4 linked regions of the Stegostoma tigrinum genome follow. The main gene of each other region encodes a partner of the protein of the gene in region 2 in a complex. Links are inferred from orthologs where the notes say so. Each region holds a gene or a part of one and is shown on either strand. Other genes may lie near its edges.

The links.
Region 1: txnl4a (region 2) and lsm8 share a complex: the UniProt entries of both Homo sapiens proteins name them as parts of the precatalytic spliceosome. The link is inferred for Stegostoma tigrinum from reciprocal best matches to the Homo sapiens genes TXNL4A and LSM8.
Region 3: txnl4a (region 2) and lsm7 share a complex: the UniProt entries of both Homo sapiens proteins name them as parts of the precatalytic spliceosome. The link is inferred for Stegostoma tigrinum from reciprocal best matches to the Homo sapiens genes TXNL4A and LSM7.
Region 4: txnl4a (region 2) and lsm5 share a complex: the UniProt entries of both Homo sapiens proteins name them as parts of the precatalytic spliceosome. The link is inferred for Stegostoma tigrinum from reciprocal best matches to the Homo sapiens genes TXNL4A and LSM5.

Annotation. Positions count from the first base shown.
Region 1 is NC_081371.1:35,184,472-35,191,439, reverse strand, and holds the start of lsm8 (LSM8 homolog, U6 small nuclear RNA associated), read right to left. Parts: upstream 3,001-6,968; 5' UTR 2,831-3,000; coding exon 2,800-2,830; intron 404-2,799; coding exon 363-403; intron 1-362. UniProt on the Homo sapiens protein: Plays a role in pre-mRNA splicing as component of the U4/U6-U5 tri-snRNP complex that is involved in spliceosome assembly, and as component of the precatalytic spliceosome (spliceosome B complex).
Region 2 is NC_081358.1:44,278,100-44,285,869, forward strand, and holds the start of txnl4a (thioredoxin-like protein 4A), read right to left. Parts: upstream 3,002-7,770; 5' UTR 2,892-3,001; intron 1,339-2,891; 5' UTR 1,307-1,338; coding exon 1,154-1,306; intron 1-1,153. UniProt on the Homo sapiens protein: Plays a role in pre-mRNA splicing as component of the U5 snRNP and U4/U6-U5 tri-snRNP complexes that are involved in spliceosome assembly, and as component of the precatalytic spliceosome (spliceosome B complex).
Region 3 is NC_081383.1:26,726,022-26,733,168, forward strand, and holds the start of lsm7 (U6 snRNA-associated Sm-like protein LSm7), read left to right. Parts: upstream 1-4,138; 5' UTR 4,139-4,205; coding exon 4,206-4,214; intron 4,215-4,565; coding exon 4,566-4,656; intron 4,657-5,389; coding exon 5,390-5,461; intron 5,462-7,147. Other genes in the region: sppl2 (signal peptide peptidase-like 2), read right to left, coding at 2,793-2,912, 3,876-3,923. UniProt on the Homo sapiens protein: Plays a role in pre-mRNA splicing as component of the U4/U6-U5 tri-snRNP complex that is involved in spliceosome assembly, and as component of the precatalytic spliceosome (spliceosome B complex).
Region 4 is NC_081358.1:3,935,152-3,942,787, reverse strand, and holds the start of lsm5 (U6 snRNA-associated Sm-like protein LSm5), read right to left. Parts: upstream 3,010-7,636; 5' UTR 2,971-3,009; coding exon 2,928-2,970; intron 1,526-2,927; coding exon 1,430-1,525; intron 1-1,429. UniProt on the Homo sapiens protein: Plays a role in pre-mRNA splicing as component of the U4/U6-U5 tri-snRNP complex that is involved in spliceosome assembly, and as component of the precatalytic spliceosome (spliceosome B complex).

The sequences.
Region 1 (6,968 bases), on a different chromosome or scaffold from region 2:
CCACAGATTGCAGCCTCACTCAATATTTGAGCAGTCTGCTCCTCTTTTGTTTTGCCCCATGTTTGCAAAGAAAGCAGATTGTAAAACTTGCTGCTCTGCATGCTCCTGAGCCTGGTGAAATCCCACCTTCTCAGAACCAGTACATAAAGCAACCAGGAAGTCTCTCCAACTGAGTGAAACCTGGACAATTTCAAGTATAAAACTGAGTCTGCTGGTTCATTTGAAGTCTTCAGTACAAACGCAAGTTATGCTGACCTGGAAGAATTAGATTTTCATATTTCTTCTGGAATTCCACAACTGTTATATTAATAACCAAGATTTATAATTGATTAGTAAGATCTCCAAAATGAAGATTAACTCACCACAATCATTCTTCCATCTGCTGTAACCACTGCAACTGTTCCTGAAGACACAAGTTAAGGTAATATGTTGATTTTTGCATCTCTTCCTTAAGATCAGCACCACCTTCTCAATGACAATATGGATAGGCAATAAATGCTGAATTTACCTGTAACATTCATACTCCATGAAAGAATTAAAAAGATCCATAGCCATAGGTCAATTTCCACTTTTGCCAACAGCCAGCTCTTTCTTTATCAATGTTTCCACATCCACCCCCACTATTCTCACATTGCCCAATATTAATTAGATGGACAAGATTATGAATAGACAGAATATTTTCCAAATTGACATTACAAAGATTCAAGCAAAAATTCTTGTTTTACCATTAGCCTCCCAACCACAACTCCATTCCCTGTTGATCTATTCACTCTGCGTGAACCATAACTTCACAATGTTAGTTTTGCATTTAATCCTGAAGTTCAAATCCCACATCTAAACAGTTGCTATAGCAGTTTAATGCTAGACCCATGGCATCATTCATCGTCACTCTTTCTTTCACTTATACTGCAACTAAAAACCTCAAGTTTTCATTGTCACCCTTTATCAACTACAAAACCCCACCACCCATTCTTCTATCATCCACGTTATTCAGTTTCATCACCATCCTGTCTCATACTTCTCAATCAAAATCTTGTAGACGCATGGCATCTCCACTGTATACATCCTAATTCAATCACCCAAGCACACGCACATGGACTCCTCACACTTCAGCAATCACTCCATTACTCTCAAAACACCACTCACCCGCTACTCTCCATCTATAAAATCCTATAAAGGTATATGTCTAGCTTTACTTTTCATACTCTCCAATTATTGTTTTTAGCCCTCTGTTAGATGCACTGGGGCATGTTCTAGATGAAAGATGTCAGAGCTGGAAATTGCATCCTGAGTGACATCAGCACAAAACAAAAATTGAACAAAAAAGTGCTCCCTTTTCTAAAATTACTTAAAATAACCCAGAAACTTTGAGGCTGACTGAAGTACGTATTTTTGAAAATTCATCATATCCCTCCAACTGGTGCCACACTTATCACGACAAGAAAAACTGAACCCAAGTGAAAATTCTTAAACATGAAAAGACTACACTGGATACCCTTTGAGAATGACTGCAAATATGCTTAAGAAGTATAGTTCTAATTGATGCATAGAAAAAAGTAAATTTTTAAAGTTGCAAGTTGTAGTGAGGTATCTAGAAACAGATCAAGCACATTCCACCATTCTAACTGATTCTGTAACAACCATGTGAGCAACAGCTTTGAATACAAAGTTTATCATTCTATGTGCAAGACCCAATTTAAGAACAGGCCAGCTAAGATAGTCCCAGAATCGATTGTTTGGCAGAAAACATTCTGTTAATATGCAGCAATATCATTTCTCCACCTAGTGTTAACTTACAAGGGAAACAGAACATCATCACACATGACTTCAACACTACAGCTATGATACTGGTAAACTTCTACCATGACACTATAATGCAGAAACAGCTTTACTACAATATCTGAAAGGATATTACTATGAAACAGAAATAATTAAACATTACTGTGCCAAAAAAATTATATTTTGACTCAGCACATTAAAATAATTGGACCATCAAGTCATGAATCAATTTACAAGGAAAATAATACTTCACAGCTTCCCCAAGGGCAATTTAGCATTAAATCTATTGACACAAATTTGAGTTCTAATTCTGAATTACATCCAAACATTTACTCTCTAGCAGACAGCAATGTCCGAAATGTGAAGTAATAACAGTAGTAGGCCATTTGACTCCTCAAACTACATTGAAAAAGATATTGGCTAATATTTGACTTAAAAATTACACTCTGTCACCCTATTTTTGTCCCTTGATTACATCACCATGATTTTTGTTATTTAGGATGAGTATACTCATTGAGCATGTATCCACAGTGCTTTGGGACAAAAGAAAGGCTCACAAGTGAAGAGATAATAGGAACTGCAGATGCTGGAGAATCTGAGATAACATGGTGTAGAGCTGGATGAACAAAGCAGGCCAAGCAGATCAGAGAAGCAGGAAAGCTGACGTTTCGGGCCTAGGCCCTCCCTGCACCTCTGATGCTGCTTGGCCTGCTGTGTTCATCCAGCTCTACACCTTGTTATATGACGTGAAGAAATGGCTTACCCTTCATCCTGACACTAAGCTTCCAGTTCTACATTAGTTGGGGAAAATAACTTCTCAATGTCTATCCTATCAAGCCCCTTTAATATCTTGAAATGCTTGGAGATAATGCTTCATTATTCTACATTCAACGGAATATCGGCCTGATTGATTGAATCTGTCCAGGCAGGACAATCCCATCTGAATGTTCAATCTGGCGAACTTCTATTGCACCCCCTCTTTAGAGCAAAATAAAAACAATGCACCAGGTGCAATCTCACCCCAAAGCCCCGCGCAATTGCAGCAAAACATCCTGAATCGTGTACAACGACCCCTTTACAGTCAGAGCCCAACACTGAGAGTCTGGAAATGCATATAAACAAACACTTTCATTGAACACCCGCCTGAAGGCAAGCAAATGTCTTCCGCACTGTGACACATTCAGTGCAATCGCTATCAAGGTCATTCAATATTATTTCCATACAAAAGGAATCCTCTTGTGGTATTATTAAACGTGGCTGCAGTTTTGTGCAACAACCATCAGGAATTACGGAGGTTAATGAAGCCAGGTGGGGGAAAATACTCAATGAGATACATCGATCGCCTCCCCCCACCCAAGAGGGAGGGAGCGCCGGGTACAGTGATCCCCCCCCCCCCCAGAGGGAGGGAGCGCCGGGTACAGTGATCCACCTCCCAGAGGGAGGGAGCGCCGGGTACAAGTGATCCCCCCTCCAGAGGGAGGGAGCGCCGGGTACAAGTGATCCCCCCTCCAGAGGGAGGGAGCGCCGGGTACAGTGATCCCCCCTCCAGAGGGAGGGAGCGCCGGGTACAGTGATCCCCCCAGAGGGAGGGAGCGCCGGGTACAAGTGATCCCCCCTCCAGAGGGAGGGAGCGCCGGGTACAGTGATCCCCCCTCCAGAGGGAGGGAGCGCCGGGTACAGTGATCCCCCCAGAGGGAGGGAGCGCCGGGTACAAGTGATCCCCCTCCAGAGGGAGGGAGCGCCGGGTACAGTGATCCCCCCTCCAGAGGGAGGGAGCGCCGGGTACAGTGATCCCCCCCCCAGAGGGAGGGAGCGCCGGGTAGTGATTCCCCCCCCCCCCCCAGGGGGAGGGAGCTCCGGGTACAGTGATCCCCCCCGCCCCGTGCTGCTCCTCCAGCAGGATACGGTTGATGTAGGTCTCCAGAGCCGAGGTCATGTTGCTGCACAGCGGCGGCTCCGGCCGGAAATTCCCGCTCACACCGCCAGGGCTGCTGGGTAAACAGGCCCGAGCAGCCGAGAGCCGAGACAGCGCCCAGCCAGGCGGCAGTAATCGAGGCCAGCACCACCTGCTGCTGATGTGAATGTGAAGCTTTTGGGAGGATTGGAAGAGAGATACTTTCATCCAGAAGATTGTGGGGATCTGGAGTGGGCAGTAGAGGCAGGAAACCTCAACCTTTGAAAAGGATAGGGATCTGTACTTGCAATGTCAGAGAATTCAGAGCTATAAACCAGGTGCTGGGATTTGGGATAGTATAAATAGGTCGGTGCAGATTAGATGGGCCAAAGGGACTGTTCTGGCCTGTCGTGGCTATAGTCAAACTGGCCACATCGTATATAGCTCTATCGTAAACTCCTTGAAACCTCTAGTGACTTTAATACGGTAGTCAGAAGTTACACAACATCAGGTTATAGTCCAACAAGTTTGTTTGAAATCACAAGCTTTTGCAGCACAGCTCCTTCATCAGGTGAAGTGCAACGCTCCAAAAGTTTGTGGTTTAAAATAAACTTGTTAGTCTGTAACCTGGTGTCATGTGACTTGTGACTTTGTCCACCCCAGTCCAACCTAGGCACCTCAATGTCATGGCTACCGTTTAATACTGTTGGCAAGTATCTCATACGTCTTCATAACCACCTTATCTACGTGTCCTGCTGCATTTAAGGATCCATGGGCATATACGTAAAGGTCCCTCTGGTCCTCTGTATTTCCTTGTCCCACCATTTAAATTAAAATTGTACTCATTGTCTTATTAGTCCCCACAAAATGCATCACTACACACTTTTCAGGATGTTTACAACAAGCCATAATGCAGACAGTGATCTCAACATTGACCAGAAGGAGCGAACTTGACACTCTGAACACATCAGAAAGGAAGGCCCTAGAAGGACTGAAAAAAGACAAAAACATCATTATATATCAGCAGACAAAGGGTGTATGATAGTAATACTAAACAAACGGGGCTCCCTCACTAAAGCACGGACACTACTAGCAGACATGAATACATACTGGCAAGTGCACACAGATGCAACATCCCAACTGGGTGATAAAATAATCAAAACACCGAAGAGACTCAAACAGACCGGACAAATCAACAAAATGGACTACCTAAAAATGAAACCAGAAGGGACAATTCTACAGCCCCGATTCTATGTCCTCCCAAATGTACACAAATTGGAAGTACCCCATAGACCTGTAGTCTCCCTCCCAGGCATACCAACACACAGGTTAGTCAAGGAGTTACAACAAAGACTAAAGTACCTCATCAGCAAGTCACCCCACTCAATCTATTCAGCCCAGGAGTTCCTCAGTTCCTTCAAGGATATAAGAACAGTTGATGATGAGAAGATGGTGTCCTTTGACGTTACCACCCTATTCACATTGACACACCACTGGCAAGAGAAACACAAGCAACACTATTATAAGAATGAGGCCCGAGTGACACCATCTCCACAGACAACATGCTGGAATTACAAGACCTATGCCTCATGATCAACTTTATCTTTAATGACCATATCTATGAACAGATTATGGCACACACATGGGATCGCTTATCTCCTGACTAATAGCAGAAGCGGTGATGCATGGCCCTCCCACAAATCCAACCCACACTATGGATCCGATAAGCGTACGACACTTTTGTCATCATTAAACAGACCAAACTAGAGGAGACACACCAACTAATAAACAACACTCTCACCGGGATCAAATTCACCAGGGAAGAAGAACGAACAGCTCCCACTCCTAGACACCATGGTAAAACGTAGGACCGATGGGGAATTCCTGATGAAGGTACACAGACAAGCCATACACACTGACCAAGTACTGAATTTCAACAGTAACCACCCTAACACCCACAAATAATGTTGCATGAAAACACTATTTAAGCAAGCGACCACACACCATAGCAACCCGGAACTACTCCAAAAAGAAGAAGAATACTTCCAAGTATCCAAGGACAACAGATACCCAAACAACTGGATCAGATGATGCCTATCACACAGACAACAGGGAGTTTACTGCACACCCTAACACACTCATCACACTACCATACATCAAGAACATATCCAGACTGACCACAAGATTCCTATGACTACTGGGCATCAGAGTAGCACACAAACCCACATCAACCCTATGCCAACTGCTCACCTGAACCAAAGACCAAGTACCCACTATGGACAGAACCAACATAATACACAAAATTCCATGCAAGAACTGCAACAAACATTACACTGGACAGACAAGAAGAAAATTGGTCACAAAAGTACATGAACACTAACTAGCAACAAAAAGACATGACCAATGCAAAATCACCTCCATTCACATGGATAAGGAGAACCACCAGTTTGATTGGGACAACACCAGGGTCCTAGAACAGGCCGAATAGAGACAAGCACAAAAATTCCTAGAGGCCTAGTTCTCCACCAAGAAGGCCATCAACAAAACACATAGAACCAAACCCTATACACACACCACTGCAAAGGAAAACCAAATCCAACAGACCCCAGAGTTTAAATACCAGGCAGGAAAACACAATAGCGCTTCATCAGAGGCTGCACTGATGATGTTAGCCAGCAGGGGTTAGTCTGTGAACTAATGAACAAGCTCAACGAGCCAACCAATCACAACAAAATAACTGACATTCTACCTATCGATTTGAACTCTTAATCTGCAGACTTTGTTCCTTTCTTCTATAGTTTCCACCCACAATATTCCTGAAACTTTTTGTCTTATCAGTCCTGTATATGAATGTTTATATCTTTAGGTTTAAAGCAGTCAGTAGCTTAAGTTTTCATATTAGCAATTAATAATCCATTTTACAGCTTGGTAGATGATTTTATAACAAATATATTTGTTAATGAAACTTTTTTTTTAATCTTAGATAATGGTCACAACAAGACTTTAACGAGTAATATATTAGTCACAGTTCATATTTGTCCTGACTCATTAAATTGTGGCGCTTTATTTCCAGCGTACTCGTCCAATTGAGGCTATGATGACTATCAATGGTAAAAGGCATTTCAGACCTGGTTAGAGACACGCAAAATTGAGCATGAGCTGCATACAGCTGGAACATGAATCAAACTTGGATAATTACAGATTGGATCAGGAGCTAATAAACTATAGGAGCAGTCCTGAGTAGAAGTTCGGTCAGAGAGTGAACAGACTTTGGAGGCACCATGAGTAACGTTGA
Region 2 (7,770 bases):
AAGGCCATATTAACAAAGTGTGGCATCAAGGAGCCCTAGCAAAAGTTGAATTAGTAGGTATCTGGGGGCAAGTTGTCTGCTGGTTGGAGTCAAAACAGGCACATAGGAAAATGTTTATGGCTCCAGGACATCTCTGCAGGATTTGCTCAGAGTAGTGTCCTCGGTCTGACCATCTTTAGCTGCTTCAACAATGACCTTCGCTCCATCATAAAGTCTGAAACAGGGATGTTCGCCAATGATTGCACCATGCTCAGCGCCATTTGCAACTTCTCAGATATTGAAACAAACTATGTTCAAATGCATCAAGATCTGGACAATATCCAGGCTGGGGCTAACAAGTGGCTAGTAGTATTCAACACCACAGAAATGCCAGGCAATGACCATCTCCAATAAGAGATGTTATTACATCACTGAATCCCCCACAATCAACATCCCGGGGGTTACCACTGAACACAAACTCAACTGGACTTGCGCATGAAGACAGTGGCTACAACAGCATCAGAGACTAGGAATACTGTGATGAGTAACTCACCTCCTGACTTCCTAAAACTTATCCATCAACTAAAAGGCACAAGTCAGGAGTGTGACAGAAAACTCCTGACTTGCCTGGATGGGTGCAGCTGCAACATTTTATCATTCAGGATAAAGCAGCCCACTTGATCAGCACATCAACATATATCCATTCTCTCCACCGACACTTAGTGGCAGCATGTACTATCAACAAGATGCACTGTGGAAATTCACTAAAGATCCACAGACAGCACCTTCCAAACTCACAACCACTTCCTTCTAGAAGGACGAAGGCAGCAGAAAAATGGGAACACTACGCTCTGCAAAATTTCCCTTCAAGCCACTCACCATCCTGATGAGAAAATATATTGCTGTTCCTTCAGTCTCTAGGCCAAAATACTGGAATTCCCTCCCTAAGGGCATTGTGCATCAACCTACAGCACATAGACTGTAACAGTTCAAGAAGGCATCTTAACACCACCTTTTCAAGGGAAACTAGGGATGGGCAATAAATGCTGCCTGAATAGCAATGCCCATATCCCACAAATGAATAGAAGAAATTTATATAGTTCTAACATTGTATTTAACCGAATACAACTTTACCTAACGCTGGGTGCACTTGCTGATGTTTATGAAGGCTTACCTTTTCAGCAATACTATACAAGACCTCATCCATCTTCATACAAGTTGGATCCCAATCATGACCAAAGCGAATGACAACGACACGATCCTCCTCTGACAGGATGGCCTGGTCTACTTGCCAGCCATTGTGGAGATGTGGCAGCATATACGACATTGCGGCAAAGAGTTGCACTATTTCTACTACCCCTTTATATGACAAAACCAAAAAAATGAGTTAAACCACTTCTAGACTAGAAAGAAAAATGTTAGTCTTATGAATAAAAGCTCTGTGCTCACAGAAATAGTACAGTTCTTAAGACTCGGGCAGACTGACGTAAATAAATAATAGCTTGGGCCTTTGGAGGTTTTAAAAAACAGAATCATGACGGTTGTAAAGCAATTAACAACCTGTATTTTGATTGTTTTTGACCCTGTAAAACTTCCCATAAATATGACAAAATAAAGTCTGCCACCAAGCCACATAAAGAGGGATTTTAGTACTTAGGCCCAAAACCTTGTTCAAAGGGCAAGTTTCAAAGCAAGTCTTAAAGTAGGAAGGGAGGTGTGTGGAAGAGTGACTGAGAGGTTTAAGAAAGGCGTTCCAGAGCTTAGGGCCTTGGCAGCCAAAGGCACAGTCACAAGCTGTTGGAGGAGTCAATGTTGGGATGCTCAAGACACCTGAAGAAAGGAGTACAGCAATCATTTATGTCGGGGTGAGGGAGCCTCTGAAGGATTGGAAATACATGTTCATTTATAACTCATAACCTACATAATACTTATAGAATATAACCTCCTTACTGTTCCGTGCTATATGTTAATCAAATTGGTTAGAATCGCTATGAAGTCTGCATTTTACAAAACGTAACATTGTCGTTGAAAACACATGTTCCAATTCCAAGGAATGAAACAGCAACAATCCACTTTTAAGTTTTCAAACAGTAACCAACTGATTCTCTATCATATTGCATATTCTTTGGTCATATTTCTGCAGAGGCTACAAGTTACAAAATACAGAAATCTCCACGAATTAAGTTTGGGCGATTCCTCAGCACTCATTCCTGTCACCTGGCAAACTTTCATGGCTTTCGATCATGTTTCTGAGGGGCTGCTTACAGTGTCTGATATCAATGAAACTGGAGTGGGCTGGACAGTTGAGATGGATGTAAACACCAAAGTTGATTAAAAATGATCTTTGTTTTGTGGTGACAATCAGCAATGTCCCTCTTGAGAAGGGCAAGTGGTCACTTTTATTTTGATTTAATTGGGGAGGATGGAGGGGGAAGAGAAATGGTGTCATTTCTCTTACTCTAAAAGCCCACCTTCAGGGGTTATTATAGGGCCCTAACCTCTGGGCCTGGAGGACCGGATAGAATTCCCCTGGCCCTGTGCCACAAGGCGTGCGATGACACCTCTGAACGGGTTAATTAGAAAGTTAAATGAGTTAGAAGGCCTCCAGCGATCCAGGAGTGACAGTGAAGTTTACAAAGTGCCCTGAATCAACTCAGTAACCATGGCGGGTAATTGCCTCTTCCTTTACCAGGAAAAAAGACAGGCGGACAGCGGAGGTGAAAGAAACTCTTAAACAACCAACCCCCTGAGAGCTAACTGATGGTGTTTAATAGTAACCCCGGTGTGTATCTGAATGACTGAGAGTTATGTGGGGGGGAATAGTCAGAGACAGTAAACCTGCCTCATCTGTATCGCTGGAAATACTCGACTGAACAGGAGCGAGTGTGTTTGTGTGTATTAGGCGGGCTCACCTCAGACACCAATCCCCGGGAATGACACCGAGCAAGGGCGCCTCACCCCGGCCCCAGCTCCGGCTGCAGGGCCTCTGACAACCAAGATGGCGACCGCCGGTAAGGGGACGGGCCGCATGCGCGGGATCACTGGGCCAATGGGGAAAGCCTCGCGATGTTTCCCCGTGTCCCTCTGCCGGTGAAGTGACAGGTTGCATTGTGGCGGACCTTGTAGCAATGTACTGGCAATTTGTCACCACTGGAGGGCAGCCAAGTGCAAGGGATGCAACAGCGCGTTTGTACACGGCAAGCCCACTGCCCCGTCATAATGTCCAGACGATTTGTCTTTTGTAATATGAGCTCAGGGAATAAATATTGTTTGGGATATGGGAGATAACACTTCTTTCAAATAATGGCACCGAATCCTTTACATCCAAGCAAGAGTTGATGTTTCAACTAAATGATGGCGTCTCAGACAGTGCAGCACTGCCTCAGTATTGCATATGTCAGTGTAGGGATTTGGAAAGATGTTCAAACACTCAGATTCAGAGGTAATGATGCTGGAAGGCTGATGGCAACATTGATAGAGTCCATGCTGACTAGATATCCTATATAAATCTAGTCCCATTTGCAAGCGTTTGGCCCATATCCTTCTAAACTCTCTAGGCCCAAAATGTTAGGTTTTGTGCTCCGAAGATGCTGCTTGGCCTGCTGTGTTCGTCCAGCTCCACACTTTGTTATCTCCTTCTAAACTCTTTCTATTCATGAAGTCATCCAGAGGCATTTTAAATGTGATCATTGCACCCACCTCCACCACTTCCTCTGGCAGCTCATTGCTGACACACACCACCCTCTGCATGAAAAAGTTGCCCGTTAGGTTTCTTTTAAATCCTTTCCCTCTCACCTTAAACCTATGCCCTCTAGTTTTGGGCATTGTTGACAAAGTAGCTGAATATGATTGTCATAGATTGGATTCCCTTTAATCGGCAAATATTTTTAGATACCTTGCTGAAAAATAAAATTTGAAGCAGTTTTTTTCAAGCTGAGTGATATACGATGACCGGTTAAAATGCTAATGGGTCCTTCATTTCATCATTTTCACTTACACAGCTGGATGCCAGACTTGTATGTGTTTTTGTGAAACAATAATGGATTTGTGGTGGTAATCATCTATGTCCTGGGACAAAATAACTTCACTAAATTGCAATCAGAATTCTTTCCATGGTTCTCATGAAAATCAAAATTCCTCTGAATGTGATTTATTCAGTTGTGCAATGACTTTACATATAACTTTGAATGCTGGGAAACTGGTTCATCTACTATGACTATGTGCTACTATCCATCCTACCTCATTCCAGTTCATCACCAAGTAAGAAAACACAGTAGAACTTGTTCCTATTTTAAAGTGCTTAGCTTTAATTCAAATTTGCAGACCCCAATGGAAGATGTTGTAGATTGTAACTCATCTCACGTTGGTACTAATAGCAACAATCCTTTTAATTTGAGGGCATGATTCATCCAGAACAAGAAATTAGAGTTTGGGTTAGGGTTAGAGAAATTCATAGGGACTGCTGTTTTTCTTATTCAAAAGGAAATTCTGCTGAGCATGATAAATTTGCCCATCTGCAGTGGCCCAAGGTTCAAAGAAAAATATGCTTGCTCATAATTTAGTTTACTCCATTTTGTTAGAGTGCAGTCTGCTAATGTGTGGCACAGATCTGGCATGGTTAGGATCAGTTTCCTCTTGATTGTACAGGAAACATGGTATCAGGAGGAGATTATTCACCCTCAGGAACCTAATCCATCATTAAATGACTTTGTGATTGATCCGTACATTCTTATCCTTAAGTTCTCCATACAAAAGCAGATCTGACCACAGCACAGCAATCTCTCACCCACCTCCTCCCTCCCCAGGCAGAGCAAGAAAGCAGGTTGTGAAGCCACCCCACCCAAAATGGGAATTGACCCCGATTTTATTCTAATTTATATATTAACTCCATTTACATAACCCTTTGTACCCTCTTCTAAGAAAAGCCTGTCAAATTTGGTTTAAAAATTTTTAATTGATCTACTTTAGGAGAGGCTTTGTGACCAGCCATATAAATACCAACTAGGTGAGAGGCTGAGAATTCTGTGGCACGTAACTCACCTCTTGAATCCTCAAAGCCTCCCAGCCATCTACAACGCACAAGTCAGCAGCATGCTGAAATACTCCCCACTTGCCTGGTTGGTTGCAGGTCCAACAGCATTTCAAGAGCCTCAGCACTATCCAAAGCAATGTGAACTGTTAAATTGAGTTCTGGATTTTTACTGGCACTCCTCTTTGAGGTCAGTCATGGGTGCCCTTGCTTTGCCATTCCTAGATCAACGATCATCTGGCTCAGTGTCTGCACAGAGGTAATTATGCCAAGGTGGAAAAGCTAACTTTTTTGCACGTGTATGGTGGAGGGTGATTAACAATAAGCTGAAGATAAAAGCGACAAACCAGTTTGAGATGAATGAGGAGGACTAAGATATTCACATTCACAGATTAGGGCCATTTCTGTGCTGTGATCAGGAGAAATCTAATTTGAGAGCCAAAACTACAGATTTGTCGGAAAATAGGCACATATTTGGGAGGTTCAAGAAATTTGGAGATAGGCAGAGAGATTGGTGATAGTGTGGCTTCCAAGGACAGTAAAGTAGTTTTTTTTTAGGATGGATATGATTTTGACAGTTTTAAAATGGAGGGCAATTGTATCCACAAAAAGAGGACTATTTATATTAGGAGATAACATTGGCATTATGAGGGGAGGTTAGATCGCAATTGATCAGAATGGAGTCAAGAATGCTTAGGGCTTAACCACACAGAGAAACACATATCCACCATTCATTGCCATTTTCATTTTATTTAACTCCCTATGTTTATTATCACCCATATATATTTCAGCTTTCCCACAGCCTGAGTATCTCAGTTCAGCTTTTTGCCCTTTTATCCCATCTAATTTGGAACCCACGTTCCATTTACACTTTTGTATCCGACATTTTTGCCACATTGTCATAAATGCTGTCCTCTTCCTTTTCCTCATCATGGAATCAGAGAATTGTAGGCCACTGAGGAGGCCATTTGGACCTTTCTACTTGTGCTAGTTTCCTGAAAGTCAACCAATACACTCCCTGCTCTTTCATCGTAGCTCTGAAATGTTCTTCTTTTCAAGCACCTAAGTGGTCCTTGCAAAGTTACTACTGATAATAAAATGTGAGGCTGGATGAACACAGCAGGCCAAGCAGCATCTCAGGAGCACAAAAGCTCCTGAGATGCTGCTTGGCCTGCTGTGTTCATCCAGCCTCACATTTTATTATCTTGGAATTCTCCAGCATCTGCAGTTCCCATTATCTCTGATACCAAAGTTACTACTGAATCTGCTTCCACTGTCTGTTCATATCTTTTCCAGATAAACGATTCTTTAAAAAAATCCCTCCTGACAGCACCTGGAATTTTGGTTTAGTAAGAATCCTGATAACAAAATGAAGGTCTCACTGCTCTATCCCTCAATCTGTGAATATTTTTTCGGTTTTAATAATGTTGAGTGCCTTTTATGTATGAACATAGATGAATTTAGCAGTAAATGTCGTGAAATATTTATTGAAAACATTAGATGGCGCTATATACCAAGCTATGAGACCTTTAACAGCGGCACTGTTTCAGTTTCTCATGTATTTATTGTGTTCTATACTTACCTTTTGTAAATAAATCACTGAAATGTTTGAAGGCACGTCTTAGCTGTACCTAATGTGAAGATGCTAATGTTGATGACAATGATAAGCATGAAAACTGAACATTAAAGAGCAGCGCAGCAACTAAGCCCATCTCCGTGGAGAAATGAAACGATTGCATTTGTTTGTGAAACTTCTGTCAGAAGTGGAAACTCGTGTATAGAGCCTGCTCTGGCAGTTTCGCTCATGCAAGTTGAACGTACGGAAGGACACACTTGTTCCTATACGAAGTGCTATTAAGGTTCACCAGACTGATTCCTGGGATGAGAATATACGAGCAGACATTGAGTAAATTAAACATCAATGTAGACTTCAACTGTCCCTCTGGAAGGTATTTGCCAATCTGTCAACTCCGGCTATTGAAGTCTCCTCTAGGCCCCTCTGACTAGCCCTGTGAAATACTTTTTCATAAATGATGTTGCGTCTCATAGAAACAAAGAAACTATGAGCAGGATCCTTAGAGCCGGCACCTCCATTCATTGGGATCATGGCTGATCCTCTGTTTCAATGCTGCTCTCTCCTTCTAACCCTTGGAGCATTTGATTTCTGAAAATATATCTATTTCTTTCTTCAATATATTCAGTGAGTTGGCCTGCATTGTCTTCTGTGATAGCAAATTTCACAGAGTCACTACCCTTGGAGTGTTAAAAAAAACTTTTCCTCACCTCAGTCCTGAATGGTCTAGCCCACATTCTGAGACTGTATCCCTCATTCTGGACTCTCCAATCACAGAGAACATTCTCCCTGCATCTAGTCTGTTAAGCCCTGGTAAAGTATTACATTTATCAAGGAGATCACCTCTCATTGTTCTAAATTCTAGTGACTACAAGCGCAGTTGAACCAATCTAACCGCAAAGGACAGTCCTGCTATCCTCAGTATCAACATAGTGAATCTTTGCTGCACTCTGTCTATGGCAAATACCTTCTTTCTTACATAGGCAGACGAAAACTGAATGCAATACTCCAGGACTGATCTCAGCAAGGCCCTGTTCAATTGCAGTAAGAAAGTCTTACTTCTGCACCCAAATGCTTTCTACATGATACTAGCGCTTGTCAAAAACATCCAACCCATGTTGAGGATAGCAAATGTGGTTCCCCTGTTCAAGAAGGGGAGTAGAGACAACCCTGGTAATTATAGACCAGT
Region 3 (7,147 bases), on a different chromosome or scaffold from region 2:
TCTTTGTTACTGCTAGACTTCACACCTGACCTCCCATCTGCCACTGGTCATAAATTTATGCTCATCCAGAACTCTGTCACTGTATCTAAACTTACACCAAGTTCCATTCACCTACTGCCATGCTGCTTGTTTCCCTGTGTGTCAACAGTAGGAAAAATTCCTGTCCTTATTTTCAAATCCCTCTATCCTCATGCCTCTACCTATCCCTGTAATCTCTACTGGTCCCTACAAGGAATAAAGTGAATGAACTGTAAGTATATGTCACTTCTGGTGGTATGGCATGGTTGTCATCACTGAATCATGGCTGCAAGATAGTCTGGGCTAGGAATTATAGCCTGGGCATGTAATATCTACAGAAGTGATTGGCAAGATGCTAGAGGACAAGAAGTGTCTTAAAAAATAAAATAAAATATATATAAAATAGTGCAAACACTCAAAAAAATATAATGAGAGATAAGCAAGCAGTGGAGACTTTATGACTGACAAATAGAAAAGAGTTCATGACTGAAGTATAAGTTGTGTCTTGGCCTTCTGGTAGCATCTGCAATACAGTAGGCTGTACAAAGGCTCAGACATAAAAATAGAGTGAAGGCATAGTAGCTTTCATTTTCACCTAGACTGGAATAAGTAGATTAGCATGTCAGAATTGTAGTGAATCTCATAACTGCATCTACAGAAATACATCTTTGAGAAAACACTGCGCAATATTAGATTCAATAAAACCAGACTTTAGTTAACAATCTAACAGCATACAAACATTTATCTAATGGCAATCAGAACGTGATTGAGTTCAACACAGTGTTCAAAGTGGAGAAATGAGAAATTGCTATTCAGATTCTAGATTTATACGACAGTCTTCAAAGGGATGAGTTTTAGTTATAAGTCAACCATAATAAACAAAACAAATCAAATCTGCTTTTTGTCAAATGTTTTAAGAGGTGGCAAGTCAGAAAACCAAGCAGCTGAATTTTCTGATGAAAGATAGTCAGCATTGTGGATGGAAGGTTAATTGTTGAGACCTTCCTCTATTTAATATTATACTTTGAAAATGTGAGGTGAGAGCTGAAGGTCGGCTTTGGGCTGTGAGCAGCAGCCTTCTTTGTAAAGCAAAACAATAATTGACTGATGCTTGTATACAAGGCCTGGCCTAAAAGTTAATTGCAGGTTGATTCTTGTTAAAAAGTGCTCTACAGATGCTTGCACTCCAGAGAAGCATTACGCTCAAACGAATGCCACATGTTTGCCTAGTAACAGAAGCCTCACAGACAACGAGAAACCAAAGTTCAAACTGGTTTTGAACTGTATTTAAGTCGGAAGGATTTTGGCTACCACAGCTACAGGATGATTAGATTGCTGCTTGAATGTTGTCTCATACTGAAAGTTCAGGCAATAGAGTTTCAGTTATCAGAACAAAAATAAATATTCCTCAAAGCTTACTGAAGGCTATGCGCATACATCAGCATCTTCAGAAATCAAGCAAGATACAATCTCATGAGCCCGTAATGTTCTAATTGTGGAGGCTGCTTAAATGAACTGGCCAGTTACAACTCTTTTTTTTTTCTTTTTTGATTTATCTCTTAACTGTGTCTTTTTATCTTTGAGTGAGGGGCTGGAATCAAAGAAAATTAGTCTTAAAACACAGATATTAATTGGATTACATTGTGGCTTAAATTTGCTCTGATAAAGCTACTGTATTATTTAAAAATTGTGGCATGTTTTGTTTAAGCTTTAAACATGGTGTCTCAGTGTTGTGATTATTCAAAACATCTGGTTAGAAACCATTGGGGTCTACTGAGGTTCAGTGACTATTTTAATTTTCTGTGTTGTGGATACAGGGATAGGGATGATTTGGCTGGGTGTCTCTGTGTCATAACATAATATTACATAGAAATCAACAGATGAAGTGAATGGGTTAAACTGTGTCAAACGCATTTCAACTTGGCAAGCAAATATGAAACCATCCACCATGGGCCAAAACAAAAAGAGGTCAAGGAACAGTACTTACTGAAATACTAAAAAGCTAGAGATAGTACAGATCAAAATAGCTTTGGGAAATTCAGGTCCATAAATTATTGAAGTTTCACGAACAGGTACAGAACATAATCATAAAGTTGAATGGAATGCTGGCTTCTGTATGCAGAGGATTAAAATGCAAATTGGCAGATGGAACACTTTTGCAACGAAAAGGACAAATCCTTCTCCTATCTAGCTTCATACTGAAAACTACTGGGCACAAGTAGCTCGGATGCTTATCTTCCCCACAGAAACATGCTAAATGGAAGATCAGGCTAAATTAGATACGTCACCAGCCAGGTGACAGAGGAGACACACCGAAAGAACAAGCCTGCTTCCTGGTGGGATCCAACCAGTACATTTGAAACATTACAATATGAGAAGACAGAACGACAAGTTAACTAACATGTACGTACATTTTATATTTAATTTTGATTTTTTTTAAAAACCAAAGAACTCGAAATATTTTAAATTTTCACTAACATGATTTTGTTCCTTACAATTCACCTATGCCCAATCTGATGTTGCAGACTTATCTTCAACTGCACTTGCTCTAGGTCAAGAAATTAAGTAGTGCAATTAGAGGCTTTACCTGCAGCTTTGGGGGTTGAGAAGTTACATTCCCTGTCCAGGGTCCCTCCTTGGGAGGATTTCAAAGGCATATGAACCCTCCTGGAATGAGAAGCCAGGCTGAGTTCCAGATATGCACGATGACTATTCATTCTCTAAATGAGCATTCCGCAATGGATTTGCCAAAACGTCCTGTGATATACACTTACCGCCTTACTGAGATCATGAGGTAAATAGGCCCAGTAGGGATTGAACTGGATGCAGTAATCTTTTGTATTTCCATGTTCCTTATCAGATAGGACGTGGACCATTCCATACTCAGTCACCACCTGCATATTTCAGGGTAAAGTGCATCAGCAAAGCAACTCCAGAATGTATAAACAATGCCAGCCCACGTATGTCTCAAACCCACAAATAACTCAGTTCCTGAATTAACGCACTACATTTTGCGCAAGATGACTAACTGCACAATTACGCTCTTCATTTCCATTTTGATCATTGTTAATGATTTAATTCACTGTCAACAATACTGAGATAAAAGTTTCCTTGATCCAAGAGAAGAGAATATTCTACCACAAATGACGCATTTGAACCATGCATTGGAATTAACAGCCGGTTCAAGGGACTGTTTTTTGAAGGCCAGTGATTGCAATGACACATACTCTGCCCCACTCAGTGATGCAGGGAGAGGAGTAAGGGGTTAGGACATGAAGAAAAGTGCCCCAAGGGGGGGAAACATGGGGACTGTTGGAGGGGAGAGAAAGGGTTTGCGAGGATTAGGATGACAGGGAGAATTCGGATAGTAGTTGGAGCCAATAGAGGATGGTCTATAGTTAAAGGGGAATGGGGGAATAGCAGAGAAGTGTGGGGGTGTTTGTGGGAGGATTGGGGAGATTGCGGGGGATTTGGGGAGATTGAGCAGTGAGAACAATTGAGGGGCAAGGGATGGGGGATAGCGGGGGATGCAGGGATTGCAGAGGAGAATGGGGGAATAGCAGGGTGTGTGGGGTTTTGCAGAGAGGATGGGGAGACTGCGGTGGGGTGTGGGGGAGTGGGGAGACTGCAGGGTTGGAGTATGGTGATGTTGTGGGGGACAGGATGGGGTGATTGGATGGTGAGGATTGTGAAGGAAGGTGTATGGGGAATAGTGGGGGGGGAGCAGATTGGGTAGAAAGGAAAGAGGGAGATGCAGAGCTGGCCTGGGGCTGAGGGTGACAGGTGTCTAGTCGGGTCCTGGGACTTGGGGGACGGGGAGAAGGAATGGGGTGCCGGCCCGGCCCCCGGGCTGATACCTGACTGAGCTGAAGGACGAACAGCAGCAGCCTCACTCCCAGCGCCATCTTTCGGATGAGGTTCGGACCCCTCCAGAGACCACAATGGTAGCGTCCACTCAGGGTCCGAACAATCCAAACACACAAAAATAGGGGGAGCCTATTTTGAGGAAAGCCGGCGGCGAACGGCCGATTAACTTCGGTTTTGACTGGAGACCCAGAAGCGGCCGGTGCCGAGGGGAGGGACCCCTGACGGTGAGGGGCGGGGCAATGGGGCGGAGACAGCCGGAACTCGGGTCGGCTGCCGAGGTTAAAGGTCATGGGGTTGTGGGGTTAGAGGTCGTGGCCGTGATGATGGCGGTGAGTGTGTGTGTGCGGTCTTTGCTGGTGGCTGAGTTTTAAAATCTCGGGGGTTGTGTTTGGGGAAAAGAAGGCCTGTTAATGGCCCACTGGAGCCTCCGGTTACATTTATTATCTAATTCTTTCCTTGGGCCTATGAAAGTGGAACACCGGTTTTGTTATAACCCCCCCCCCCCCCCCCCCAATTTGGCGGTTTGTTCGTGGCCGTGTCAGAATCTCTGAGTGGGACCAGGTCGATTTAGCTGTCACGGAAACCTTGCGGGCTATCGGAGGCTCGGGTACCGATCACGAGAAGCTCGGATTGCAAGAATCGGGTTCTAACTTTCTTTGTTTTTGTTTCTTTGAATTCAGGATAAGGAGAAGAAAAAGAAGGAGAGTATTCTCGACCTCTCCAAGTACATAGACAAAACAATCCGTGTGAAATTTCAAGGTGGACGAGAAGGTGCAGTTTTTTAAAATTTCGTCTATATATGTTACGTAAGGTTGACTTTTACCAGACTACAACAGCTGTAGTCTTTCCCCAACCAAAATAGGCAGGCTGTTTGGACAAACGTGGTTGAGTTTGGGAAAGGCTTAGGGGCTAGGAGCAGGTAGGTGGGACTGGTTTTAGTTTGGAATTGTAGTCCACATGGACTGCCTGGACCGAATGGTCTCTTTCTGTGATTGGGAAAGATAAAAGAACTGTGATACAAATTGTATCAAACCAATAAAAAGTCAGTATAAACCACATCTTATTCCTTTAGGAGTAGTGCTGTAAGTATTGTTTTACTACTTAGTTTAAGCTGGTCAGAGGCTCCTGTAAATTCTTCAATTTGGTTAAAAAGCTGCTGAGGTCAACTTCAAAATGACTAGAATCTCTAACAATAATCTTTCACCTTCAAGACAATGAATTGGGAAATGATGTAGATACTACACTTACTGAAGAATTGTTTTAGTTCTTTGCTGTTAAATTCATAAGGTAAAATGACTTCAACTGAGAATTTGAAGCTTTACTGTTTCAGAACAGTTTCATTGGTTGTTACTGAAGTCTGCTTTGGGAAAGTTTGGGTGTTGAAGGGGAAAACAGTAAAAGATCTTGTGTATTTTGAGGTAATGTATGTTTTGACTCTTGTATAGTGTCTGATGTTGTAGTTCACTTGAAATTTGGTGAAATGTGTTTGGTTTTTTTTTGACAGCTAGTGGGATTCTGAAAGGATTTGACCCACTCCTCAATCTTGTATTGGATGGAACAATAGAGTATGTGAGAGGTAAGCCCCAAAGATGTTCCTAGTTTTTATAACTTGATGGACAATCTATGAAACAAAAATTGTGAAGTGTATTCTAGACTACAAAAGTGTAGAGTTGGATGGACACAGCAGGATCCGAGGAGCAGGAAGGCTGACATTTTGGGCCCAGCATCTGCAGTTCCTACTATCTCTGTCTGTAAAGTGACTTCCAGTTTTTCTGATTTGAAAAACATTGTATGACTTTTGATTTTAGTTTTTTTTTGCATAGCTCCTCTTCTCTTTATCATCTTCCCTTCTAAACACTTTTGTATGCAGCTTAATTTTCAGCTGTATTTTCTACCTGCTAGTTACCATAAACACTTTTTTTTTCTGTTTTTTTTATCCAAAGAGCTCTGGATTTTTCTTTTGCTGTATTTTTGTGAGGAAATATACATTGTGCCAGAACCCTTTTTTTTTTGTTTTAATCTATCTTTTGGAAGGCATCTTATTGCACATGTAATCTTTCACTCTGCCCTTTTGATCCAGACTAACAAGAACAAGTCTGTTCTTGCCCCATTAAAGTCTGCTCTGTCTAATTATCCTTAGTTTGCTTTGTCTCTTGTTGCCACGGTCCTCCCAAATTTCATGATACAATGATCACTGTACCTTTTTTTAAAGGTTACCCTACTGATACTACTTCCTAAGAAGTAAGTCCAGCAGTGCTTTCTTTTTTAACTTGTTGCATTGATGTACTGCTGTTGGAAATTCTTTTAAATGCATTCCAAGAATGTATGTTTGTTTGCTTTTCTCTTTTTCCTAACTACCACTATTCCAACTTCAATTGGAGTAATTGAAATCTCCCACATACTCTTTGCTTGCATTATTCTGTAATTTCCTTACTGATTTGTTCCTCTACATCCCTATTACTAACTGGTGGCCTGTAAACTACACCCAGCAATATAATGGACTCCCCTTGTACCTTTTGCTCCAGCCAAGTTGATTCTGTCCTTGAAGCCTTTTTTTTCCTCCCAAGCAGCTGTCCTTCACCAAGATTACCACTGCGTTGCTTTCTTGCTTTACCCTCTCCCTGTAACTAGGAATGTTTAGTACTTAGTTCAGCCTTTCCTTTGCCCAGCCTGTTATTGCCACAGTATTATAACTCAATGTGGCGATCTGTACTTGTAACTTGTCAATCCTGTTTACTTCCATTCATATGCACAGTTGTAATTTCTCCCTTTAATCCAGTTATTAATTTGTTCTACACTCTAATCTTTTAATGAGCTTTCTAAATTCTTACTACAGGACTACATCACCACTCATTTCTACATAAATACCAATGTAGACCATGATCTGCAGTTGAACGCATCCCTCGGGAAGAATGTCCTGTAATTACTTTGTGACATTCTTGATTCTAACACCTGTGAAAGAAAATGCATTGCTGGCATCACATCTTTGACTGCAGAAATGTCTCTAGTCTCCTAACAAATCAGTTCCTTTTTAACTGCTGCTTTCCCCCTTTTCCTTCCTTCCCTCCCAAATAGCTGGCTCACTCATGTTGCCATAGGCTTAGCATCTCCTCTGAAAACCTTTACCATTATCAGAATGAAAACTGATTCTTGAGTTAAACCCCTGCATTGTCTTCCTGGTTCTCTTGGACTGTCTGATAGTCACATGTTCCTGATCTGCCTGCATGCCTCTAACCTACACTTATACTGGCTCTGTGAACAT
Region 4 (7,636 bases), about 40 Mb from region 2:
TGATTATACACTAAACAATAACACATTTTAAATAGAATGAGAAATGTCTAAATGTTTTGTGCAATATAGTTGGAAATAAAATATGCCTAACCTAGTTGGTAAATAAGACTGCATACAAGTGGTTCAAAATTTGAAAAGTACAAGATTACAAAATGCAAAGCACCAGACACCCAACAATACTATTTATTTGAGGGAGTAAGGGAAATCTCTAAATGCAGAGGTCAGGTTGAAGCCTTCTGATGGAGATTCTCTATTAATATTAATAAAACAATTGGTATATTTCTCAGTAAAATGATAAAACACAAATCACACAACTGTGTCAACAGCTGAGTAGCAACCATCTACCATCATACCACTTAAGGACTCAGTATGTTCCCTATACGTTACAGCATTCCTAGGCCAAAGCCAAGTACTTAAATGTTGAGGCTTTCTGATTTTATTGCACTTTATGACCGTGAATTCCATACCCCACCCTTTTGACTGAAGAATTTTCACCCTAAATCCCCTCTAAGCTTACTACTGCTTAACCATTAATCTATGCCTCTGGTTAAGAGTATTTAACAAAGAGAAAAGGGGCATTCCTATAATGTGGACAGGCATGCTTTTGGCCCTCCTAAGCCCTATTTATACAAAGAAAGCAATCCTAGCCCAACCAATAATGTCTCAAAATTATATTTATTCAGTCCAAGGAGGAACTCGACTAATCTCCCTTATGTCAGTGACCAGAATTGCACAGAACTATGGGCCAACTAGTATTTGTCCAATTCTAGCACAACAAGGGCTAAGTATGAATACAAATCCCAGAATCATGCATCAAGCAGGGCATTTTGTTGTAGAAAATGCCAAATAAAAGGATACTGACAAAATCTTGTATCTTATACTTTGCCTAAAAGGAAACGTCCTACTTGACCAACTCATCTATATGTCAACAGATGTCTGAAGATGGCAGAGAATTGAGTGAGGGAGAGGAGGGATAAAACGGATTTTCAGGTGGGAAAGGAAAGAACAAAGAGAAAGACATGGAATGAACAGGCAGGTGGAGAGGGGCTGATGGGAAAAGGCTGAGGTGGTGAGCCAGCAGGCATGATGGCAGTACAGAAGCAGAGGTCAGGGAAGAGATAGCAGGAGTTGAATGGGGCGGATGAGACCTAGGAGGTCTGGATGTTTAAAGAGTTGATGGTGAGGTGGGTGGGTATTATTAGACAACATTGCTCAATTCCCTTTTACTTTTCAGCATCTATTGCACATTTCTTTGCCCTGTTAGTCTTTCAAAACACATTACTACCCCTCTGAATTCAAAACCACTTGCTTTAGCAACTATTATTGTCAGTTAACTAAACTGGACATCTGAAGGGCTAAGTAGGAATACAAATCCCAAAATCATGCATCCAGGGCATTTTGTTGTAGAAAATGCCAAATAAAAGGATACTGACAAAATCATCAAAACCAAGAAGTGTTCCTACAATCTCCTTATCATTTTTCATAACAATATGAATCCGTGAGCCAATGCATTTGTCCACCAACTCTGGAATAGAAGAAAAAAGTTAGATGTAGAATGTGAAGAGAGATCAAAGACATTGTAGTTAAATAAACAGCCCTTTGACAACACCTTCTAAACCCTTGACACTTAGCACCTCAAAGGGGCAGCAAATAAACAGGAACAAGCACCTCCTGCAGGATCCCCATCCAGTCACAGACTGTACACACTTTGTACCCGAAAAGCCTTGTCTTCACTATCAGTGGGTCAAAATCATAGAACACCCTTCCTAACAGGACTCTGCGTGTACCTAGATAATAAAATGTGAGGCTGGATGAACACAGCAGGCCAAGCAGCATCTCAGGAGCACAAAAGCTGACGTTTCGGGCCTAGACCCTGCTCTCTGATGAAGGGTCTAGGCCCGAAACGTCAGCTTTTGTGCTCCTGAGATGCTGCTTGGCCTGCTGTGTTCATCCAGCCTCACATTTTATTATCTTGGGATTCTCCAGCATCTGCAGTTCCCATTATCTCTGTGTGTACCTACACCACAATGATTGCAATAAGATAGCAGCTCAAAACCACCTGAAGGCAACTAGAAATCAGCAACAAATGCTGACATAGGGTGCCCTCTTGTGGTGTAGGGGCAGTTTCCCTACCCTTGAACCTGGAAGTCCCACCTGCTCCAGAAGTGTATGTTAACTGGTTGAAGGTAGGCTAAATAACTTGCTTTCCTTAAAACGCTGGCTTAGCCAGTGATGCCCACACCCAATGATTTTTTAAAACAAGGTATGTTCACTAGAGAGCAAATTCAGTTTACCTATTCAGGTAGCTAGAGTCTCATCACACTTCCATTCAAATGATACCAAGTCTCAGCTAATATTCACTTCACCACCCCTCTCAAATTATTTCACATCGACATCGTTACTTTTAACTCCGTACACCCATTACTATCTCTTCCTTAACCTCTGTATCTCCCCCCCCAACCTAACTGCCTGTCCCCTTTCTCTCCACCTCAGCCTTCTCCTCTCTCCCACACTTAATTCCTTCACGCCAAACCAAGGTCCGTCACGTTCAACTTTCCTTCTACCGTTTTGTCAATTCCTCATCCCCAACACCCCCTTCTCGTCTCCCGCATCGCTTTGCCATTCCCTTAGGCCATTGCTCCATATCCTGTCTCCCTTACTCCATCCCAGCTCAACTCTCTTCCTTTTCCCCATTAATTTGTCCACTTCTCCCCGGTTCATTCAGCCTGCATTTCCCATTCCATCCATTTGCCTTCACCCTTCCACCCCGCTCGAGCTGCCCTCCTAATTCGCGCTTTCTTCCATAGCCAATTTCACCCAAGTTTTCTACCCCCACGGCCAAACTCCCACCATTTCCTCCCCCTCCTTAAGATGTCAGGCCGGGGAAAGGTGGGGGTGTAGGTAACCGGCTCCATGCGAGTTCTTACCTAGAGGCAACAGCTGGGACGGATTCGTTGCATTCAGCGCCATCTTGACCAAGAGGGCAGCAACTCCGCGCCTGCGCACGGCCCGGGCCAATCGGAGCGCGCGCGCCGGCCGGCGACGGTGCGTGATGACATCAGGGGAGACGGAGCAGCCAATCAACGGCGGGCCCCACGGTTGCCGCGGAAACCACTCGATGAGGGCCTCAGGCCTGACGGAAAGTAGGGGGAACGCACCCCAGAGACGGGCTCATCCCCTGACTGGCTATGGATCATCTTTCATATCCTCCGTCTCTCAAACCCCACCCGCCGCGTCTCACGTTTAATTGCCCACTCACGCCGCAGAAGTTCACCCCCACACCCCAGCTAGCAGCTGCTGCTGAACGCCCCGGGAATACCTTAGCGGGCCTTGCGGTTAACGCTTCAGCTTGAAGACCCGATGCGAGGCAGGAGGACAGCTTGGAGCAAACGGCTGGAATGATTCAACGGGAACCGGGGTGGTGTAAAGGACAGGTAAAGACCAAAGACGTGTCAGTTTGAAAACTATAGTAATCTCCACTAGCCGCTGTTAATCCAGGGCCATATACTTTTGCAAATAAAAACAGAACGGGGGTGCTTTTGTTCAGTACTGACAGCTACACAAATAACGGTGGTCCAGGTGTACAGGAGAAATCTCTCCTCTTAGAGCAAGGGGCGTAGTTTTATGGTGAGGAGCAGCAAGTATAGAGGGGATTTCACTCTGCACCTGAGAGGTTGTGGATATCTACAACTCTCCGTCTAAAACGGCGGCAGAGGAAGGAATCCTCGAGACACTGAGCTATTTAAATGGGTACTTGAAAGAGAAGTACTAGATAACGGGAGAATAGATTAATGTTTGAGAAGCACGGCACAATGGACCCAAAGACGTGCTTTCATGCTGTAAAGCTTTCATGACTCAAGCCCTGTTGCAGTTATTCTAGACCCTACTTAAACTACACCTGAAGTATCATGTGCTGGGATCTGCGCTTCAGGAATGATTTTTGACCTTAAGTGCAGCATAGCTTTGCCACGATAATGCCTCCACTCCAGGTGTTACACTTTTAGATTTTACAAACAAGGGTTGGTTTTGTTTTGGAATTTAGATGCTTGAGGAGTGATTAGATTTAAGCTTTCAAGCTATTGAAAGGTAACAGATGTGGTAGGAAGAAACAATTTCTGGTACAGAGTCTTACATTAGAGAGTATTGTCCACATGTTAGACTATCCAGCACTTTATTGCGTTCTGGTGTTGAGAATAAGGAAACACCGTTTCAAAAGTTTACTGAGAAAGCTGCCCTCTGAGCACAAAGGGCTCAATTCTTTGAATTGTCTTCCATCAGGTGAAACTGAGGTTTGACATTAGTTATTTTTCTCAAAACATACCACCCAGAATATTCATAAGTCAACCTTTAAGGCTTCCAAAAAGTTTGAAAGTTGGAGCTGACTTACCTGCTGAATATAAAATGTGAACAGCTGGTTTGAGCATTCATGTTTGCCCTTTTGAAATGTGTAAAAAAAAAGTAAACATACAAAATAAATGTAACTGCTTGTTGAATAAATTAATTTTACAAGAGTTAAATAAACAAATGTTAAAAGCTGTCAAGTCATTGTCTTTTACAATGTAAAGAATTCAATTTGATATCGTAAGGATCCCCTTCAAGATCAAATAGGGTAATTTTGATTTCAGGTTTATCTATACACAACAAATCACTAAGTTTGTTTTACAACAATCCAATTATTTGACAGTTATACACTAATAACATCCTATTAATGATAACGCAGATACAAGAAGATATATTTCTAATCTTTGTGCAAGTTATTCTGCTTTTATCGTATCCAGAAGTGCACTTACACACAAAACTGAACAGTTTTTTTTCCTCCCTAACACCAAATAACACTCCTCATCTATTAACTAGCACCAGTAAATCATAGTATTCAAGTGGAAACATAATTTATTCATTAAGTGCAAATCAGCAAAGGTGAGGGAGAGCAGGAAGGGGACAAATTAAAATGGAGTTGGAAGGTGAAGTAAAATACTGTACCCCTGCCATGCCTCAGTGATAATGGGAACTGCAGATGCTGGAGAATCCAAGATAACAAAACGTGGAGCTGGATGAACACAGCAGGCCAAGCTGCTTGGCTTGCTGTGTTCATCCAGCTCCACACTTTGTTATCTTGGATTCTCCAGCATCTGCAGTTCCCATTATCACTGATACAATTTTAACCTCACTGCGAAGCCTCTTCCAGGGATGCCTAACCTGAAGAAGTTACCCTCCTCCCTCCGGACCAGCCTCAGGGAATCTCTCGCCCACTACAACTCTGTTGTAACCTCTTCAGCCTTGCAACCGCTGGACCATGTCCTGAAGTAATCACGTTTGGACATCGAGCAGTTTTTAACCTGTCTGTCTTCCCTGGACTGACCTATCCCCTCCCTACCTCCTCACCTATACTCTCCTCTGTATCTAATATAATAAAACATGAGGCTGGATAAACACAGCAGGCCCAGCAGCATCTCGGGAGCACAAAAGCTGACGTTTCGGGCCTAGACCCTTCGTCAAAGAGGGGAATGGGGTGAAGGTTCTGGAATAAATAGGGAGAGAGGGGGAGGCGGACCGAAGATGGAGAGAAAAGAAGATAGGTGGAGAGGAGAGTAGAGGTGGGGAGGGGATAGGTCAGTTCAGAGAAGATGGACAGCTCAAGGTGGTGGGATGAGGTTAGTAGGTAGGAGATGGAGGTGTGGCTTGGGGTGGGAGGAAGAACAGGTTAGGGAGGCAGAGACAGGTCGGACTGGTTTTAGGATGCAGTGGGTAGAGGGGAAGAGCTGGGCTGGTTGTGTGGTGCAGTGGGTGGAGGGGAAGAGCAGGGCTGGTTGTGTGGTGCAGTGGGTGGAGGGGAAGAGCAGGGCTGGTTGTGTGGTGCAGTGGGTGGAGGGGATGAACTGGGCTGGTTTTGGGATGCGGTGGGGGAAGGGGTGATTTTGAAGCTGGTGAAGTCTCTATCTCTCCTCTCTACCTATCTTCTTTTCTCTCTATCTTCAGTCCGCCTCCCCCACTCTCCCTATTTATTCCAGTTCCCTCTCCCCATTTCTGATGAAGGGTCCAGGGCCGAAACGTCAGCTTTTGTGCTCCTGAGATGCTGCTGGGCCTGCTGTGTTCATCCAGCTCCACACTTTGTTACCCCTGCAATGCCTACCTCTTTCAGGCATAAAGAGTATTGGTGGACACCATGTGCTCCCTCTGCAAGAGCATCCCAGCACGAATGTATCTACAAAGGAGGGGTGTACAGTCAACAACTATCACCACTCCAGAGTTGCTGCCTGGACCTGTTAATAGCTAACTTGGCCAGGCCCAGGAGCAGACGCTCAAGGATTTCTGACTTGGCTGCAACCCTTCACACTAAATGCCCAAGGGTCAAGATTGTGGAGCTGAGGTGCAGTCAAAATCACAGTGAAGGACTGAAGGTTATTCTCCAAACATCTCGTTATCTGATTCATTATGAACATGATTTTTTGAATGGCCTTTTGAGGTTTGTAGTGAAGACTGAACTGAAGACATTGGACTCTGAATAGTATTTGCAATTTGGTAATTATTTCTTCTCATGTGTGCCTTAATCTCATCAGTAATCAAATCAGAATTCAAATTCCACCCCGTGCCACGACTGGGATATATCCCAACTGGATGGGATTGCATTTAATTAAGCATTTAATTGCCAAATCAATTACCTTCATCATATCCACTGACTTGATTATCACATTCCTAAATTGGTTGCATCCTCCTCATAAGGAACAAATGTGCAAATCAATCATCAGGTGCCTAAGCCATGTCCTCTATCTCCACAAAAACTATTGTCATCCATCTTTAATTGCCTCACTTTTACTTTGCCTGTAGTTTTATTCTTCATACCTTTATAAGGAAAAAAAACTTCACCCCATTCCCTTTTATGATACCCACTGATCTTATTGCAGTCATTCTCTTTGCAACTCTTATGTGCTTATAATCTCCCTCAGAACTCCTTGTATTCAGCTTGGTTTTCTACCATATTGTTAACCTGATATCTAAGTCTACTTTCACTTTTAATTTGAAGCTCAACTTTTGAGGAAGCGGTGCACTTCTGTTTCCCCTCAGGAATGTATATCGTTTGCACAGTCTACTTCACCTTGAAGTGCATCAATTTATTTTACTGTTTAGCTTTCCAGACTTTGTATTAATTCACATGGGCCAATCTCTTTCAACTGACCGAATGAAGCCCTCTTAGTTATGAACCTCCATTATGACTTTTCCTTGTTTTTTTTTTGCATGGAAATAATCCCTAGTTCCAACTCATCTGTGCAAACCAGATATCCTAAATTATTATAGTCCCTTGAAAGGGTTCAGAAAAGATTTATGAGGCTGTAGGGAGCGTCAGAGTAGGTTGGGGCTATATTCTCTGGAGTGTAGAGGCTGAGGGGTGATCTTACAGAAATTTACAAATTCAGGAGGGGCATGGATAGGGTGAATAGTGAAGGTCTTTTCCCCAAAAGTGGGGAGTCCAGCACTAAAGGGCATTGGTGTAGAGTGAAAGAAGAAAAATTTAAAAGGGATCTAAGGGGAACTTTTATGCACAGAAGGTAGTTCATGTATGGAATGAACTGCCAGAGGAAGTGGTGGAGTCTGGTACAATTACAACATTTAAAAGGCATCTGGATGGGTATATGAATAG